Saccharomyces cerevisiae S288C: one gene and its partners. Changing the gene in region 4 together with the main gene of any one other region gives a genetic interaction. Each region holds a gene or a part of one and is shown on either strand. Other genes may lie near its edges.

Evidence for each region.
Region 1: of ILV6 (region 4) and ILV3, changing one suppresses a phenotype caused by changing the other (phenotypic suppression), as found in Saccharomyces cerevisiae (one study listed by BioGRID).
Region 2: mutations in ILV6 (region 4) and FLX1 together harm fitness more than expected from each alone (negative genetic interaction), as found in Saccharomyces cerevisiae (3 studies listed by BioGRID).
Region 3: mutations in ILV6 (region 4) and COQ11 together harm fitness more than expected from each alone (negative genetic interaction), as found in Saccharomyces cerevisiae (2 studies listed by BioGRID).

The regions. Positions count from the first base shown.
Region 1 is NC_001142.9:463,918-468,319, forward strand, and holds ILV3 (dihydroxy-acid dehydratase ILV3), read right to left. Parts: upstream 2,292-4,402; coding exon 534-2,291; downstream 1-533. Other genes in the region: YJR015W (uncharacterized protein), read left to right, coding at 1-336; peptidylprolyl isomerase ESS1, read right to left, coding at 2,604-3,116; TES1 (palmitoyl-CoA hydrolase), read right to left, coding at 3,315-4,364. UniProt on the Saccharomyces cerevisiae protein: Dihydroxyacid dehydratase that catalyzes the third step in the common pathway leading to biosynthesis of branched-chain amino acids.
Region 2 is NC_001141.2:95,497-99,016, reverse strand, and holds FLX1 (flavin adenine dinucleotide transporter FLX1), read right to left. Parts: upstream 1,623-3,520; coding exon 687-1,622; downstream 1-686. Other genes in the region: 60S ribosomal protein uL13 RPL16A, read left to right, coding at 1-490; YIL134C-A (uncharacterized protein), read left to right, coding at 2,292-2,495; VHS2 (Vhs2p), read left to right, coding at 2,642-3,520. UniProt on the Saccharomyces cerevisiae protein: Transport of FAD from the cytosol to the mitochondrial matrix.
Region 3 is NC_001144.5:716,599-719,918, forward strand, and holds COQ11 (ubiquinone biosynthesis protein COQ11), read right to left. Parts: upstream 1,381-3,320; coding exon 547-1,380; downstream 1-546. Other genes in the region: GTPase GUF1, read left to right, coding at 1-428; GCD7 (translation initiation factor eIF2B subunit beta), read right to left, coding at 1,719-2,864; Sec63 complex subunit SEC72, read right to left, coding at 3,191-3,320. UniProt on the Saccharomyces cerevisiae protein: Component of MIOREX complexes, large expressome-like assemblies of ribosomes with factors involved in all the steps of post-transcriptional gene expression. Component of a multi-subunit COQ enzyme complex required for coenzyme Q biosynthesis.
Region 4 is NC_001135.5:103,816-107,344, reverse strand, and holds ILV6 (acetolactate synthase regulatory subunit), read left to right. Parts: upstream 1-1,796; coding exon 1,797-2,726; downstream 2,727-3,529. Other genes in the region: VMA9 (H(+)-transporting V0 sector ATPase subunit e), read right to left, coding at 1-57, 154-234, 312-322; ubiquitin-binding ESCRT-I subunit protein STP22, read left to right, coding at 492-1,649; SGF29 (Sgf29p), read left to right, coding at 2,995-3,529. UniProt on the Saccharomyces cerevisiae protein: Regulatory subunit of mitochondrial acetolactate synthase, which catalyzes the first of a series of common steps in the biosynthesis of the branched-chain amino acids.

The DNA of each region.
Region 1 (4,402 bases), on a different chromosome or scaffold from region 4:
GGAGCTAACGAAAATGCGGTTATGCTTGTTATTACGTTAGGACCCCAGTATCTCGGGTTCTGGATCCTATCATTTGTCATTCTCAATATTGCACCTTCTTTCTTCCCATTAGCGCTAAACAATAATGTTTATAGATATGGGTACATGATGCCCGTTCACAACGTCATCGATATCTACAGGGTTATTTTTTTTGACGTGACAAGACGCAAGATGGGTCGGAATTATGGTATTTTAGTCGCACTCATTGCCTTGAATACGGCACTGTTACCATTTGTTGGCAAGTATGCTAGTAGAAAACTAAAACAGAAGGCTTTAGTGGCAGCAAAGCAGAGTTAATTTCGTAGATTATAATTAAGGCGACTTTTCAAATAAAAAAATACTGATCGTTGTTTTTTTTTAAATAAATGTTTATCCATTCAATGGACTATAATAAATATTTATATATATATATATATGAAAAGATTGCGAACAAAAAAGATGATGGAAAAGGAGAATCTCTATATATATATTCATCGATTGGGGCCTATAATGCATCAAGCATCTAAAACACAACCGTTGGAAGCGTTGGAAACCAACTTAGCATACTTGGATAGAGTACCTCTTGTGTAACGAGGTGGAGGTGCAACCCAACTTTGTTTACGTTGAGCCATTTCCTTATCAGAGACTAATAGGTCAATCTTGTTATTATCAGCATCAATGATAATCTCATCGCCGTCTCTGACCAACCCGATAGGACCACCTTCAGCGGCTTCGGGAACAATGTGGCCGATTAAGAACCCGTGAGAACCACCAGAGAATCTACCATCAGTCAACAATGCAACATCTTTACCCAAACCGTAACCCATCAGAGCAGAGGAAGGCTTTAGCATTTCAGGCATACCTGGTGCACCTCTTGGACCTTCATATCTGATAACAACAACGGTTTTTTCACCCTTCTTGATTTCACCTCTTTCCAAGGCTTCAATAAAGGCACCTTCCTCTTCGAACACACGTGCTCTACCCTTGAAGTAAGTACCTTCCTTACCGGTAATTTTACCCACAGCTCCACCTGGTGCCAATGAACCGTACAGAATTTGCAAGTGACCGTTGGCCTTGATTGGGTGGGAGAGTGGCTTAATAATCTCTTGTCCTTCAGGTAGGCTTGGTGCTTTCTTTGCACGTTCTGCCAAAGTGTCACCGGTAACAGTCATTGTGTTACCGTGCAACATGTTGTTTTCATATAGATACTTAATCACAGATTGGGTACCACCAACGTTAATCAAATCGGCCATGACGTATTTACCAGAAGGTTTGAAGTCACCGATCAATGGTGTAGTATCACTGATTCTTTGGAAATCATCTGGTGACAACTTGACACCCGCAGAGTGAGCAACAGCCACCAAATGCAAAACAGCATTAGTGGACCCACCGGTTGCAACGACATAAGTAATGGCGTTTTCAAAAGCCTCTTTTGTGAGGATATCACGAGGTAAAATACCCAATTCCATTGTCTTCTTGATGTATTCACCAATGTTGTCACACTCAGCTAACTTCTCCTTGGAAACGGCTGGGAAGGAAGAGGAGTTTGGAATGGTCAAACCTAGCACTTCAGCGGCAGAAGCCATTGTGTTGGCAGTATACATACCACCACAAGAACCAGGACCTGGGCATGCATGTTCCACAACATCTTCTCTTTCTTCTTCAGTGAATTGCTTGGAAATATATTCACCGTAGGATTGGAACGCAGAGACGATATCGATGTTTTTAGAGATCTTCGAAGAACCACATGTTGGATGACCGGGCAAGATAGTACCACCATATACCATGATGGAAGGTCTGTTATGTCTACCCATGGCCATCATGACACCGGGCATGTTTTTGTCACATGATGGGATGGCGATGTTAGCATCGTAGTGTTGTGCCATCATGATGGTTTCAAAGGAGTCTGCAATGATTTCTCTACTTTGTAACGAGTATCTCATACCTTTAGTACCCATAGAGATACCGTCTGAAACACCGATGGTGTTGAACTGCATAGCTTTCAAACCCGCTTTTTCAATGGATTGAGAACATCTGTTATTCAAGTCCAATAGATGCATGTTACATGGGTTACCGGACCACCAACAGGAACCAACCCCGACTTGAGGCTTCTTGAAATCTTCCTTCTTGAAACCGGTGGCATAAAGCATGGCCTGGGACGCACCTTGGCCCTTAGGTTCAGTGATGATATACGAGTACTTGTTGAGCTTCTTTGCAACGCATCTCGTTGTAGAGAATTGTCTAGATGTAGCAACTTTCGTTAACAAGCCCATCTCTACTTTTTTCTTGGCTGTTTACAAAAAAATACAAGAATCCGTTACTAAAGATTACAGGCGCTACAATGCATAATAAAACTTCAGTCTCTTCTTTTGTTACATTATATAATATACTACTATATTACTGAGTCATCTGGAGAGGAAAAGAGAAAATTTTTTTTCAGGCCCGGTTCCGCTCGCAGCGAAGAACAGCGCCATTTAACTATGTGACTAGTTAATTTTTTTTCTTTTCATGGGTTCAGCGAGGACGGAATGGATACAAGAGGGAATAAGAACATAAAAAGGTGAGGTGGAGAAGCAAATGCCAACCTAACCTACCCGCTTGATCACATGAACACCGCTTCCTGATTCAACGATATCGCTTACCTCGCCGACCTTGAGCTGGAAGGCAGCGTCTTCAAAGCTAGGCTGCATCTCGCCTCTCCCGAACCAGCCGAGGTCGCCGCCTCGCTTGTATGAAGAGCAATCTGATCTCTCTTTAGCCAGGGCCTCGAAGGAGTTCGTCTTAGAGTCGTCATCCAACCTCGTGATTAAGGTTTTCAGTTCGTCCGTAGCGTCTTGCTTGGATATCGTAATGTTCTCGGATCTATGCGATGCGGGTCTTCTTGAATCCTTGTGCTTGATGAGAATGTGCAGGCATCTTACACGCACTGGATGGTCTCTTAAGTGCTTGTGTAGCTGGTCCTTGTTGGTGCCCTCAGGCTCCTCCCATTGCGAGTGCTTCGTCTCTGGATTGAAAAAATACTCTCTTTTCTTGGACTTACTATACCTGACGGTCCACGGGGTTGGCAGCCCGGTCCTCGATGCTACGTCAGATGGCATTGGTGCGTCGTTGTGGTGCCGTAGTCGGTTATGCGTGGGAATAAGTACCACAATGATCATTCAGGTCCTTTTTCTACTTAGATCGAAGGGAAAAAGGTATGATACCCGCTCGTGAAAGGTGATGTAATAATAAATAGGATATTATTATATAATATAAGAATATATATGTATGTGTTTATACGTGGGAGGGAATTGTCCTCAGAACTTGGCTCGAATGTCTCGTTCTGACCCGTAGACAACGTAGCCCTCCTGAGAGACGCTTGCCATGATGCGTCCCGACTGTGTGTCGAAATACTTGCCCTGTACGAGGTGCTTGTCCCAGTGGGACCTGGGATTCGAAATCTTAAGATAGATCCAATTGTTCACATGAGGCAACTGGTGAAAGTAAATCGTGTGGTCGAGCGAGACACTGAAACTGTGGCAGTACAAAGGCAGGTTGTGGAAGTACGGGATCGTGAGTAGGAGGTAGGAATCGGACAGATACGCAAAGGCCACGTAGTTGTAGCGAGCGTCGTTCTCAGGAGTAATGCTCTTCGGGATCCTGTACGGATGATGCTTGTGTAAAGAAGACTCGTCGCCCGCGTGCTCCACGGTAGTGATGGGAGGTCTCACTTTGACGAAATAATCCAGCTCGTCGGTGTGTCTTGCCGAGTAGAACATGTCCTTGGGGAATTGGTACTCCATGACTCCGTATTGAAACGCATCCACATACTTGCTCATCGAGGTTGCGTCTTGGAACCTGTCGGACAATGAGGCATACCTGCTCAATTTCTGTGGGTCCAGAACTTCTTTCTGGAAAAGCGAAGTGGCCTCTTCATAACGATGAGGGTCTGGCTGCTTACCTTGCAGGCCTGGAATCGTCTCCCAGTGCTGCAAGGAGTCGTGCTCCTTGGACCGTTGCACGGCAAATAAGATCATCGACGTAAATATCAACTTGTCGTGCTGATAAGCACTAACCTGCTTATGGATGAAATTTCTACCGTTTCTCAGATTCTGCACATGGTACGTGATCTTGGTCCGCGGATCACCACCCTTGATGAAATACGAATGTAGCGATGTGGGGAAGAAGTTCAATGGCACAGTATGCAATGACGCCAGCAGCGATTGTGATACCAGCGTTCCACCAAAAGTGCCCTTAGACCCTACGGGCGCGGCAGGCAGATACTTTGTGACAAAACTGGTAGGCGAAAGAGGAACCAGTTCCAATATTTTCTCTAGGTTGGACATGGCCATTTTGGAAGCACTCATTTTTATGCAATCTTGTCTTATCTTGTCTTGCTCATGGT
Region 2 (3,520 bases), on a different chromosome or scaffold from region 4:
AGCTGAAGAATTAAACATTTCTGGTGAATTTTTCAGAAACAAATTAAAGTACCATGATTTCTTGAGAAAGGCTACCGCTTTCAATAAGACCCGTGGTCCATTCCATTTCAGAGCCCCATCTAGAATCTTCTACAAAGCTCTTCGTGGTATGGTTTCTCACAAGACTGCTCGTGGTAAGGCCGCTTTGGAACGTTTAAAGGTCTTTGAAGGTATCCCACCTCCATACGATAAGAAGAAGAGAGTTGTTGTCCCACAAGCATTGAGAGTTTTGAGATTGAAGCCAGGTAGAAAGTACACCACCTTGGGTAAGTTGTCTACTTCCGTTGGTTGGAAATACGAAGATGTTGTTGCCAAATTGGAAGCAAAGAGAAAGGTTTCATCCGCTGAATACTATGCCAAGAAGAGAGCTTTCACCAAGAAAGTTGCCTCTGCTAATGCTACTGCTGCTGAATCTGATGTTGCTAAACAATTAGCCGCTTTGGGTTACTAAGAAATTAAAAATAGTTTTTCTTTAATACTTTACATTTTGTAATATAATCACAAATATTTTTTAGAAATAATAAAAACCAAAGAAACCATTCCTCCCCGTTACAGTTTAGATTACCTCCCCTTTTTCTTTCGTACTTTTTATATTTTTATCGTTTGATATTTACAAGAAATTAAATCTATCATATAGCCTTTATTTACTAAAGCCTATGCTTAAGGTTCTCGTATACACAAAAGGTAATGCAAGTGGATGGAATGGCCCGTACTAAGTTTGCAGATAGGCCCTTATAAAGTCCAACAAAACCATCATTAGCAATGATTAATTTTATCAAAGGAAAGAGCCTAAATTTTTGCTCATTGGCCCTGAAACTTTGTAAGTTTGATTTCAATAATTGAAAAGGGTAAACCAAAGTGACGGAGACCATTTTTCCCAACGATGTGATTTCAATGGTTTCAAGATTTGTTAAATGGATGTCAAGCCCATTTTCCCTCTTCCGTCGCAATTTTCTTTGCTTTAAGGTATCGTAAACTGCAAAATATAAGGCACCTTGCGAAACACCAAACAGTGCGGGTACAAGGCCCTTCCATAGGCCCTGGAAGCCATCAGTTCGTAACAGTTGTTGGACACCGTTGTACATAGAAGTGTACGCTCCTTGGGCGCCTTTACTTGTAGACATTATCCTGGTCTTTATAACCCAGATAGGGTTTGTTAGGATAGCTGTCATCAACCCACTGGAAGCACCGGCAGACAAATAAATAAGCGAATTCATTTTGTGGTCGTTCCCAACACCTTTAAGCTGTGTTTCCCCTGGCTTTGCCACTGACTTGTATATCAATTCTTTCGTGACACCATATAAACCGAAATAAACTCCCCATGCAATGGCATTTCCAAACAAATTTATGCTTAATCCGCGATACAGTTCGTTCGTAACACTACGTCCACTATTCGCCGACGAACGTATAATCTCTTTGATTACCATAAATGGGCCGTAATGGGCCTTTTGTGCGCTTGTAGCGGATAATTGCAAACGAACCTTCAGTAAATCTAATGGATGCACTACCAATGTGGTGACGGATCCCGCGGACAGACCTGAGATAACCTCCTTCTGCAGTGGCGTCCACTGGTGATCGACCATATTATCAAGAGCTTCCTGCTGCGTGCTGGTTTTGCAAAGTACAAAGACAAGATATTGTACATATTCCTATGAAAGCTACTGCTCTTCACGTACTCCTTCACTTTTTTTTTTTCAGTTTAAGTTTTCCAATTTTTTTGTAAGATGAACCTTTCAGCAAATCTGTTAAGAGTCAATTTCCTCGGTAAGAAATATAAAATATAAATGAATATAGATTATAAAACAGACTGTACTTAAACAGCCCCCGTCAATACGATAACGCAGTAAAATAAATGCTCATCATGATAAATCCAACAAAAAAATAAACGGAAGGAAACTGAAAAGAAAAAAAAAGGAAACGAAGAAAAACATAATTTATCGTTTGATAGCAGTAAGTCGCAGATCAAGTCGCGCCTGTATCCTTACAAACATGACGACATTGAGCTGTACAAAGCTATGACCAACCGTTCCATAATTAACTCTTTTCAACACATTGAAAATAAGACTTCCCCCATCGAAGCATCAAGTTCTTGCATGTCACAAGATACTTGATCGTAACCTCCTGAAGGTCCCTTTCAGAAACACATGGAGTGTAGTTTACTAGGAAGGAAGAAGAGACATCGAAAACTTTTTCACTTTATATAGGTGAGAAAAATGGTGCAAGAGAGCATGACCGTGTATGGTGACATATAAATGGTTGTTGGCAGCGAATTTAACAACACTGCAGATGTAGATGTCGTAGCTATCCTTCTCACGTTGTTGAATGCTGACTATTTTGTTATTAAGCAACGCCTTGTTAGTGCTTGTTTTACAAAGCGTATTAAATGGTATTTTATTTATGCTATCGCTTTATTATCTTTATTTTCATCACGTAACACGGTGTGTGCGCCATATTAATGTTGCAACAGTCGTGAGGTGATTAACAAACAGTATCAGACTAAACTCACCCTTTGGTGATATGCAATTTCTTGAGGCGCAAAAGGTTGATCCTGAAAGCTTTTGTGATAGACTACCTTCAAGCAAAGCGAACGTAAACGGCAAAGATGGATACCAGCAACCACAACCAAGACCACGACTCCCACGTGGCGGCACAGAGGGAGAACGACAATAATTATATGCCACCTTCCCCCTCCATGAGCGAGAGTTCTATGATTTTTGAAAGAAATGTAGAGGACCCATCATACCTTTATAAAACGGTGTCAAACAACGCTGCAAACTCTCTCTCTAGGCAGAGCAGCAGGACCAGTTTGTTCAATCATAATAATTCTAGTAATAGGAACTTCCATAACTTAAGCCAGAGATCGTCTGCTGTGAATCTACATTTGCAACCTTCTAGGACTAATGAGTCAATAGCATCGTACCAGACATACAATCCGGATTTTGTTGTGCAGACTCCACTGGATCACCGTCGTACCTTAGAGAATTTCGTCCCTCCTGCATTAGACGCTGGCTGTTCTATTGTAACTGACGACACGACTGGCCTTGATGACGTTGATATGGTTTATTCGAGAAGGCCATCTACCATCGGCCTGGATAGAGCCCTAGGTAGGACAAGAAGTCTTTCGTCACAATCTTTTGATAACGAAACGTCGCCTGCGCATCCAAGATCTCCCAACGACCATGGTTCAAGACTACTAAGGTTTTATTCCTACGCTGACATGTTGTCCGATGACAACAATAACAACGTTAGTAATGCGACATCAACATCATCAACTGCGAACCCCTTGAGAAGACCCCCAATGCAAGGTCACTACTCGTTCTCGTCGTCCCTTTTGAATTCTCCTTCTCATTTGCCTTCCCCCCCATCAGCTTCGGCATCACCACCTCAGCATATGAACTTCACCAACCCTTTCATCATATCTAGACGTTACTCTAACACAACGATCAACAATGCCAATGGGGGAACCAGCGCTGGAAGCACT
Region 3 (3,320 bases), on a different chromosome or scaffold from region 4:
ACTTTTTTGGTAAATTAAAATCGGTGTCCAGAGGATTTGCCTCTTTAGATTATGAGGATGCTGGCTATAGAATTTCTGATGTTGTAAAACTGCAACTCTTGGTTAATGGAAATGCGATTGATGCCTTGTCAAGAGTACTTCATAAATCGGAAGTAGAGAGAGTGGGTAGAGAATGGGTGAAGAAGTTTAAAGAGTATGTTAAATCACAATTATATGAGGTCGTTATACAGGCCCGAGCTAATAACAAGATAATAGCTAGAGAAACAATTAAGGCAAGAAGAAAAGATGTTCTCCAAAAGCTGCATGCTTCTGATGTCTCACGAAGGAAAAAACTTTTGGCGAAACAGAAAGAGGGTAAAAAGCATATGAAAACTGTAGGTAATATTCAAATCAACCAAGAGGCATATCAGGCTTTTTTGCGCCGTTAGCATTGCATATTATTGTTATTACCATTTTAAAATTATACCAAGCTGTATATAGTTAAGTACTTTTCATTTGTAAATAAAAGAGAAAAATAGATTAATAAATATAATAATGGCATAATCATTATGCTTTAAGTATTTCCTCAAGTGTAACTACCCCTTTAAAATCTGGGTTTTCGATATTTTTCAGGACGGATTTGCTTACCTGCTGAGTGGATACTGTTGGCCTAATCAAGTCGTTCAAAAGCTGCAGCTTATTTCTCAATAGAAATTTGTTACCGCAGTAAAGTAGTTCAAGTGCAGTATGAATAAAAGACCGTGGTCCAATTGCATTTCTGTGCTCATCGAACATAAAACCGGGTCTCACAATAATAGGCCTGAAATATCTCTGCATTTTTTCTAGTTCAATCTCCGCCTCTCTTTTCGAATTAATATAGCCACTAGGAATCAATGGGAAACCTTTATCGGCGGAAATATACGTAAAAGATCTTTGATTTGCTTTTTCTTGCTCCTTTTTGCTTTTCTTTAGGATTTTTTGTTTAAATGTATCTGCCAAAATAATAGCACTTTGCTTATTCATCATTTCATAAGTAAAATAAGGACTGCTTTTTTTTAAAGGATTTGGACCTGCACCAAAAGATAGAAGGCGTGATTTTGAATCATATGTAGGGGATTTGGATAGAGTTTGCTTATAATTTTCATTTTCTAGGAGGATTCCCAAAGAATGAACTACGTTAGTAGCATTATTCAATAATTCATGGTAAGAATCAGGCTTAAAAATGTCAGCAGCGGTCCATTGGACCTCCTGCATCCATTGCTTATCATTTAATTCATTGCTATGAGGAGCTTTACCGGACCTTGACACAGAAACGACTTGGTAGCCCGAAGTCACTGCTTCTTGACAAATTCTTTTACCTAAAAATCCATTGCCTCCAAAAACTATAAGCTTTGGTATCATTTTCTACTTCAGTTCAAGCTTTAGCTGTATTTTTGTATACGATACATATTTCCCTTATTTTTTTATTTTTTCAATGTTTTCCTGTTTTTCTATTATGCAAAAGCGACAAGATGGCATTACGAGGAGACACTCAACTAAAAAAAAAAAATGAGTCAAATTGCCAGACTTTGTAGAGAAGTAAAAAGTTAATGCTAAGATGCTCTTTATGTATTAGTCTTTTAACATATTCAAGGATACGTAAATATTCTGATTATATACTAATAATTAATAATAAAAAAATTGTTTTGATCTACAAGATTTTTATTTATTTTCATGAGTAATGTACAAAAGACACATCATCACGCCTTATTTTTATCCAAATGCACATCAATTTGCTTGTAATTATCCCACGCAATACGATATATAAAACTTGGATTGAACCCACCGACGTTTGTAATGTAGATATCAATATTTTCAGGCGGAACATAATCGGTAATTTGATTAACTGTATCTAATCTTTTTCTTGGATCCATTCTAGGTAATATACGTTGGGACCCACCAAATTCGACAAACTTCTCTACGTCGAACGGATATAGAGGAGAAAGCTTATACAAACCTGCAACAGCAAATACAGGGGTTCTAAATTCTCGGGCGCATTCACAAACGGATGATACACCTGAATTTGACGAGATAGTCCCCCCATTGACAAAAACGGCTTTAGTGCCGATAATAACCTTACCCACACGGGACATTAAAGCAAAAACAGCTGAGTCTGGGACTACTAGGGTTTCTATGTTGTGCTGTGCTAATTTTTTGGCAAACTCATGTGCATTCTTGGTGTTATTAGGGAACCCCTCTGTAACTAAAACCGTAAATGTTCTATTACTACGTTCGCGAGCAGTAATCAGAAATTTTAATACGGTTTTTGAATCAGGTGTGGGAGTTAATAAAATCTCATGATCGTGAATCAAATCAATAGCAATTTGCTGAATACCTTCATCAATGTTTTTTATCTCATCTATAAGATCCTTGATACCCTGAATGGCTACTTGACGGTAATCAGTCTTGGTTTTCATACTAGAGCTCCCTGAACTATTTTTTCTATTCTGATGAGGTTGCTCCGGTTTCTGTAATAAATTAAACATAGAGGAAATCAAAGGTTCAGCAACGGATGTGGATGTGACAGTTGTGCTCATAGTGTCTTCTTCTACTTCATCCCTCAAAACAGCCAGTATTCTTCTAATTACGTTACCGCAACTGAAAGCAGTAGGATGAGCTTTTTCTAGACTATTACCTAAATCTCTGATTTGTTCAATAAGGTCATTAACATGGTTCCAACGAGCTGCAGAGATAAATCGCATTAACAGTTGTAAAGTTTCCAAGGCGATGGCGTATGAACCTTGCACTTGTCTTCTTTTTAACTTAGCAACGAAAGTGTCAATGGTAACATTCACATCAGATGTTGCCGCATTCGGATGTACTGAAGTGAATGCTTGAGAGGACATCTTATGTTGGGCAAAAGTTCGAAAGTTGGCGTGTTGTGTTTACTGGTTCCGCACGAGTAATGAATGGTCTGTTTCATTTATGAAGGTTTTTTCTATGTCCATTTTTTTTTTTCAGCATCACGAAGAAAAAAAGCTTGCGGTTGGGAAGCAGAGGTATCATATACTCAAGCTGTATAGTTCAAAGCCTTTCATAAAGGCTATTCCTTAGTATATATGATAATGGGCTTGCTATGTGTTTTTGAATCTATCTAAAATTTCTTGCTATGTAGTCGTGTGTAGCATAGAGACATATCAAGAAAAGGCTAAAATATCTTCGGTTATGCACCTTATTCACCGTTATATTCGGCCAGATTTCTTGCAGTTTCTATTAAAAGGGCTCTAAGTTTCATATCCTCTGGGGCTAAAGCTAAACCTCTCTCGCATGTTGCCCTAGCCTCTTCCCACTGTCTCAATTTT
Region 4 (3,529 bases):
ATGGCCCACATCAAAAACATCATGGCCAATGTCAAAATCACTGTACTTCTCCAAACACTGTACGACAAAACAAAACAAACAAACTCTTGTTAGTAAAAAAGAAAGGGAAACTAGTAATATGGAGACACATCGTAAAAAAAATGTTGCACATACGCTTGGTTGTTCTTTGGAGCCATTATCCAGAACAGCACGGACATGGCACTAACCACTATGAATACACCAACAACAGTATAGCTAAATTGGACGCGCAGAGAGTTAGTAGAAGAAGAAGGAAGAAAAGGGAAGCGGAGAGAAGAGATTATGACACATACAAACTACTCATTACTCTTTGTTCTTTATTATTCGTTGGACCTTTGTTTCTTAAAGTATAGATAAAAGGTCAAAAAATGTAGTAGTCTTTTTTCACAGAGCGAGAATAAAAAGTTACGGCAAAATTTTGTGGGCAGTTGGTATCTTAACGGCCAAGAAAAGAGAGAGAGTGAAGAGCAACGATGTCTGCAAACGGCAAGATCTCTGTTCCCGAGGCGGTGGTCAATTGGCTGTTCAAAGTCATTCAACCCATTTATAACGACGGAAGAACAACTTTCCACGATTCTTTAGCGCTGCTGGACAATTTTCACAGTTTAAGGCCAAGAACAAGGGTATTTACGCACTCTGACGGCACTCCACAACTACTGTTGTCCATATATGGTACCATTAGTACTGGTGAGGATGGTTCATCTCCTCACAGTATTCCTGTGATCATGTGGGTACCCAGTATGTACCCGGTAAAACCTCCCTTTATAAGTATAAACTTGGAAAATTTCGACATGAACACCATCAGTAGTTCCTTGCCCATTCAAGAATACATCGACTCCAATGGGTGGATTGCGCTGCCCATACTCCACTGCTGGGATCCTGCCGCGATGAACCTTATAATGGTCGTACAAGAATTAATGAGTCTCTTACACGAGCCGCCACAAGATCAGGCGCCCAGTCTACCCCCTAAGCCCAATACGCAGCTCCAGCAGGAGCAGAATACTCCCCCACTGCCCCCAAAGCCCAAGTCTCCACACCTAAAACCGCCATTGCCTCCACCTCCACCACCTCAACCGGCATCTAACGCACTCGACCTTATGGACATGGACAACACGGATATCTCCCCAACCAACCATCATGAAATGCTACAAAATCTACAAACCGTAGTCAATGAGTTATACAGAGAGGATGTGGACTATGTAGCGGACAAGATACTGACGAGACAGACCGTCATGCAAGAATCAATTGCCAGATTCCATGAAATAATCGCCATCGACAAGAACCATTTACGAGCCGTTGAGCAGGCTATTGAGCAGACCATGCACTCGCTAAACGCACAGATAGACGTCCTGACCGCAAATAGGGCCAAAGTCCAACAGTTTAGCTCAACTTCGCATGTGGATGACGAGGACGTGAACTCCATAGCAGTGGCCAAAACAGATGGACTCAATCAACTATACAACCTCGTTGCCCAGGACTACGCTCTCACGGACACCATTGAGTGCTTATCTAGGATGCTGCACCGTGGCACCATTCCCCTCGATACTTTTGTCAAGCAAGGTCGTGAATTAGCACGCCAGCAATTCCTTGTGCGATGGCACATCCAACGAATCACCTCACCGTTATCGTGACTCACTTTCTTTCGCATCGCCGAAGTGCCATAAAAAATATTTTTTTAACCTTTACCTAACAAGAACGGGGAATGGTATATATGGAAGTACATAGTTCGTATATACAGAATCTTTAGAACATCTGAGCTCACTAACCCAGTCTTTCTAATGCTGAGATCGTTATTGCAAAGCGGCCACCGCAGGGTGGTTGCTTCTTCATGTGCTACCATGGTGCGTTGCAGTTCCTCGTCGACCTCCGCGTTGGCGTACAAGCAGATGCACAGACACGCAACAAGACCTCCCTTGCCCACACTAGACACTCCTTCCTGGAATGCCAACAGTGCCGTTTCATCCATCATTTACGAAACACCAGCGCCTTCTCGTCAACCAAGAAAACAGCATGTCTTGAACTGTTTGGTGCAAAACGAACCCGGTGTCTTGTCCAGAGTCTCGGGTACGTTAGCTGCCAGAGGCTTTAACATCGATTCGTTGGTCGTGTGCAACACCGAGGTCAAAGACCTAAGTAGAATGACCATTGTTTTGCAAGGGCAAGATGGCGTAGTCGAACAAGCACGCAGACAAATCGAAGACTTGGTCCCCGTCTACGCCGTCCTAGACTATACCAATTCTGAGATCATCAAAAGAGAGCTAGTGATGGCCAGAATCTCTCTATTGGGTACTGAATACTTCGAAGACCTACTATTGCACCACCACACTTCCACCAATGCTGGCGCCGCTGACTCCCAAGAATTGGTCGCCGAAATCAGAGAAAAGCAATTCCACCCTGCCAACTTGCCCGCCAGTGAGGTATTAAGGTTGAAGCACGAGCATTTGAACGATATCACCAACTTGACCAACAACTTTGGAGGTCGTGTCGTCGACATCAGCGAAACAAGCTGTATTGTGGAGTTGTCTGCAAAACCCACACGTATCTCTGCCTTCTTGAAGTTGGTCGAGCCATTCGGTGTCCTAGAGTGTGCAAGAAGCGGTATGATGGCATTGCCAAGAACTCCTTTGAAGACAAGCACCGAGGAAGCTGCCGACGAAGACGAAAAGATCAGCGAAATCGTCGACATTTCCCAACTACCACCTGGTTAGGTTAGTCTCTCGGCCTTGCGATCGCCCTCGGGACTCTCCTCTATACATCTATATAACGTATCTATAACCATGAGCCTATTTACTCATAAGTTGCTATGATTGTACGTTTGTACGAGGTGACGCGTTACTAAACTATTTTTTTCTTTTGGTTTTCTGCTTTCCTCTTCGATTTTGCCAGATACGAAAAAGGTTAAAGACACAATACCTTGGTGGCTTCTCTAAGTGGGGGGAGTTTTTCACAGCAAAACACACGGTCACCTTTCTTATTATGGACGGATATTGGGATGTTGTAGTGTCGTCCTTGCAAGACATATACAATGCCAACGAGGTCATTCCCTTTGATGATGAGCTGCAAACAAAAAAACTAAATTTCCTTAATATGTCAAAGGATCAGCTGCAATTGCATCTCAACACTTTCCAAGAACACATGGAAAACGTCAACAGAGTGCACCGAATCCTTGACAATGTACGTTCCAATTTGTCGTTGATGTTGAATCAGTCACGAGAGGAAAAGAGTGAGGAAAATACTGAAGATGCAGAAGAAGGAGAAGGGACACGCATGGCATTGTCGCAGGGCAAGAAAGCTGTGGGGAAAGTTGGCAGATCGTACTGGACCAGCGAATACAACCCAAATGCACCTATTTTGGTGGGCTCAGAGGTTGCCTATAAGCCCAGAAGGGGCAGTGCCGACGGCGAATGGATACAGTGTGAAGTACTCAAAGTCGTAGCAGATGGTACACGATTTGAAGTGAGAGATCCTGAACCTGATGAATTGGGCAACTCAGGCAAGGTGTATAAATGTA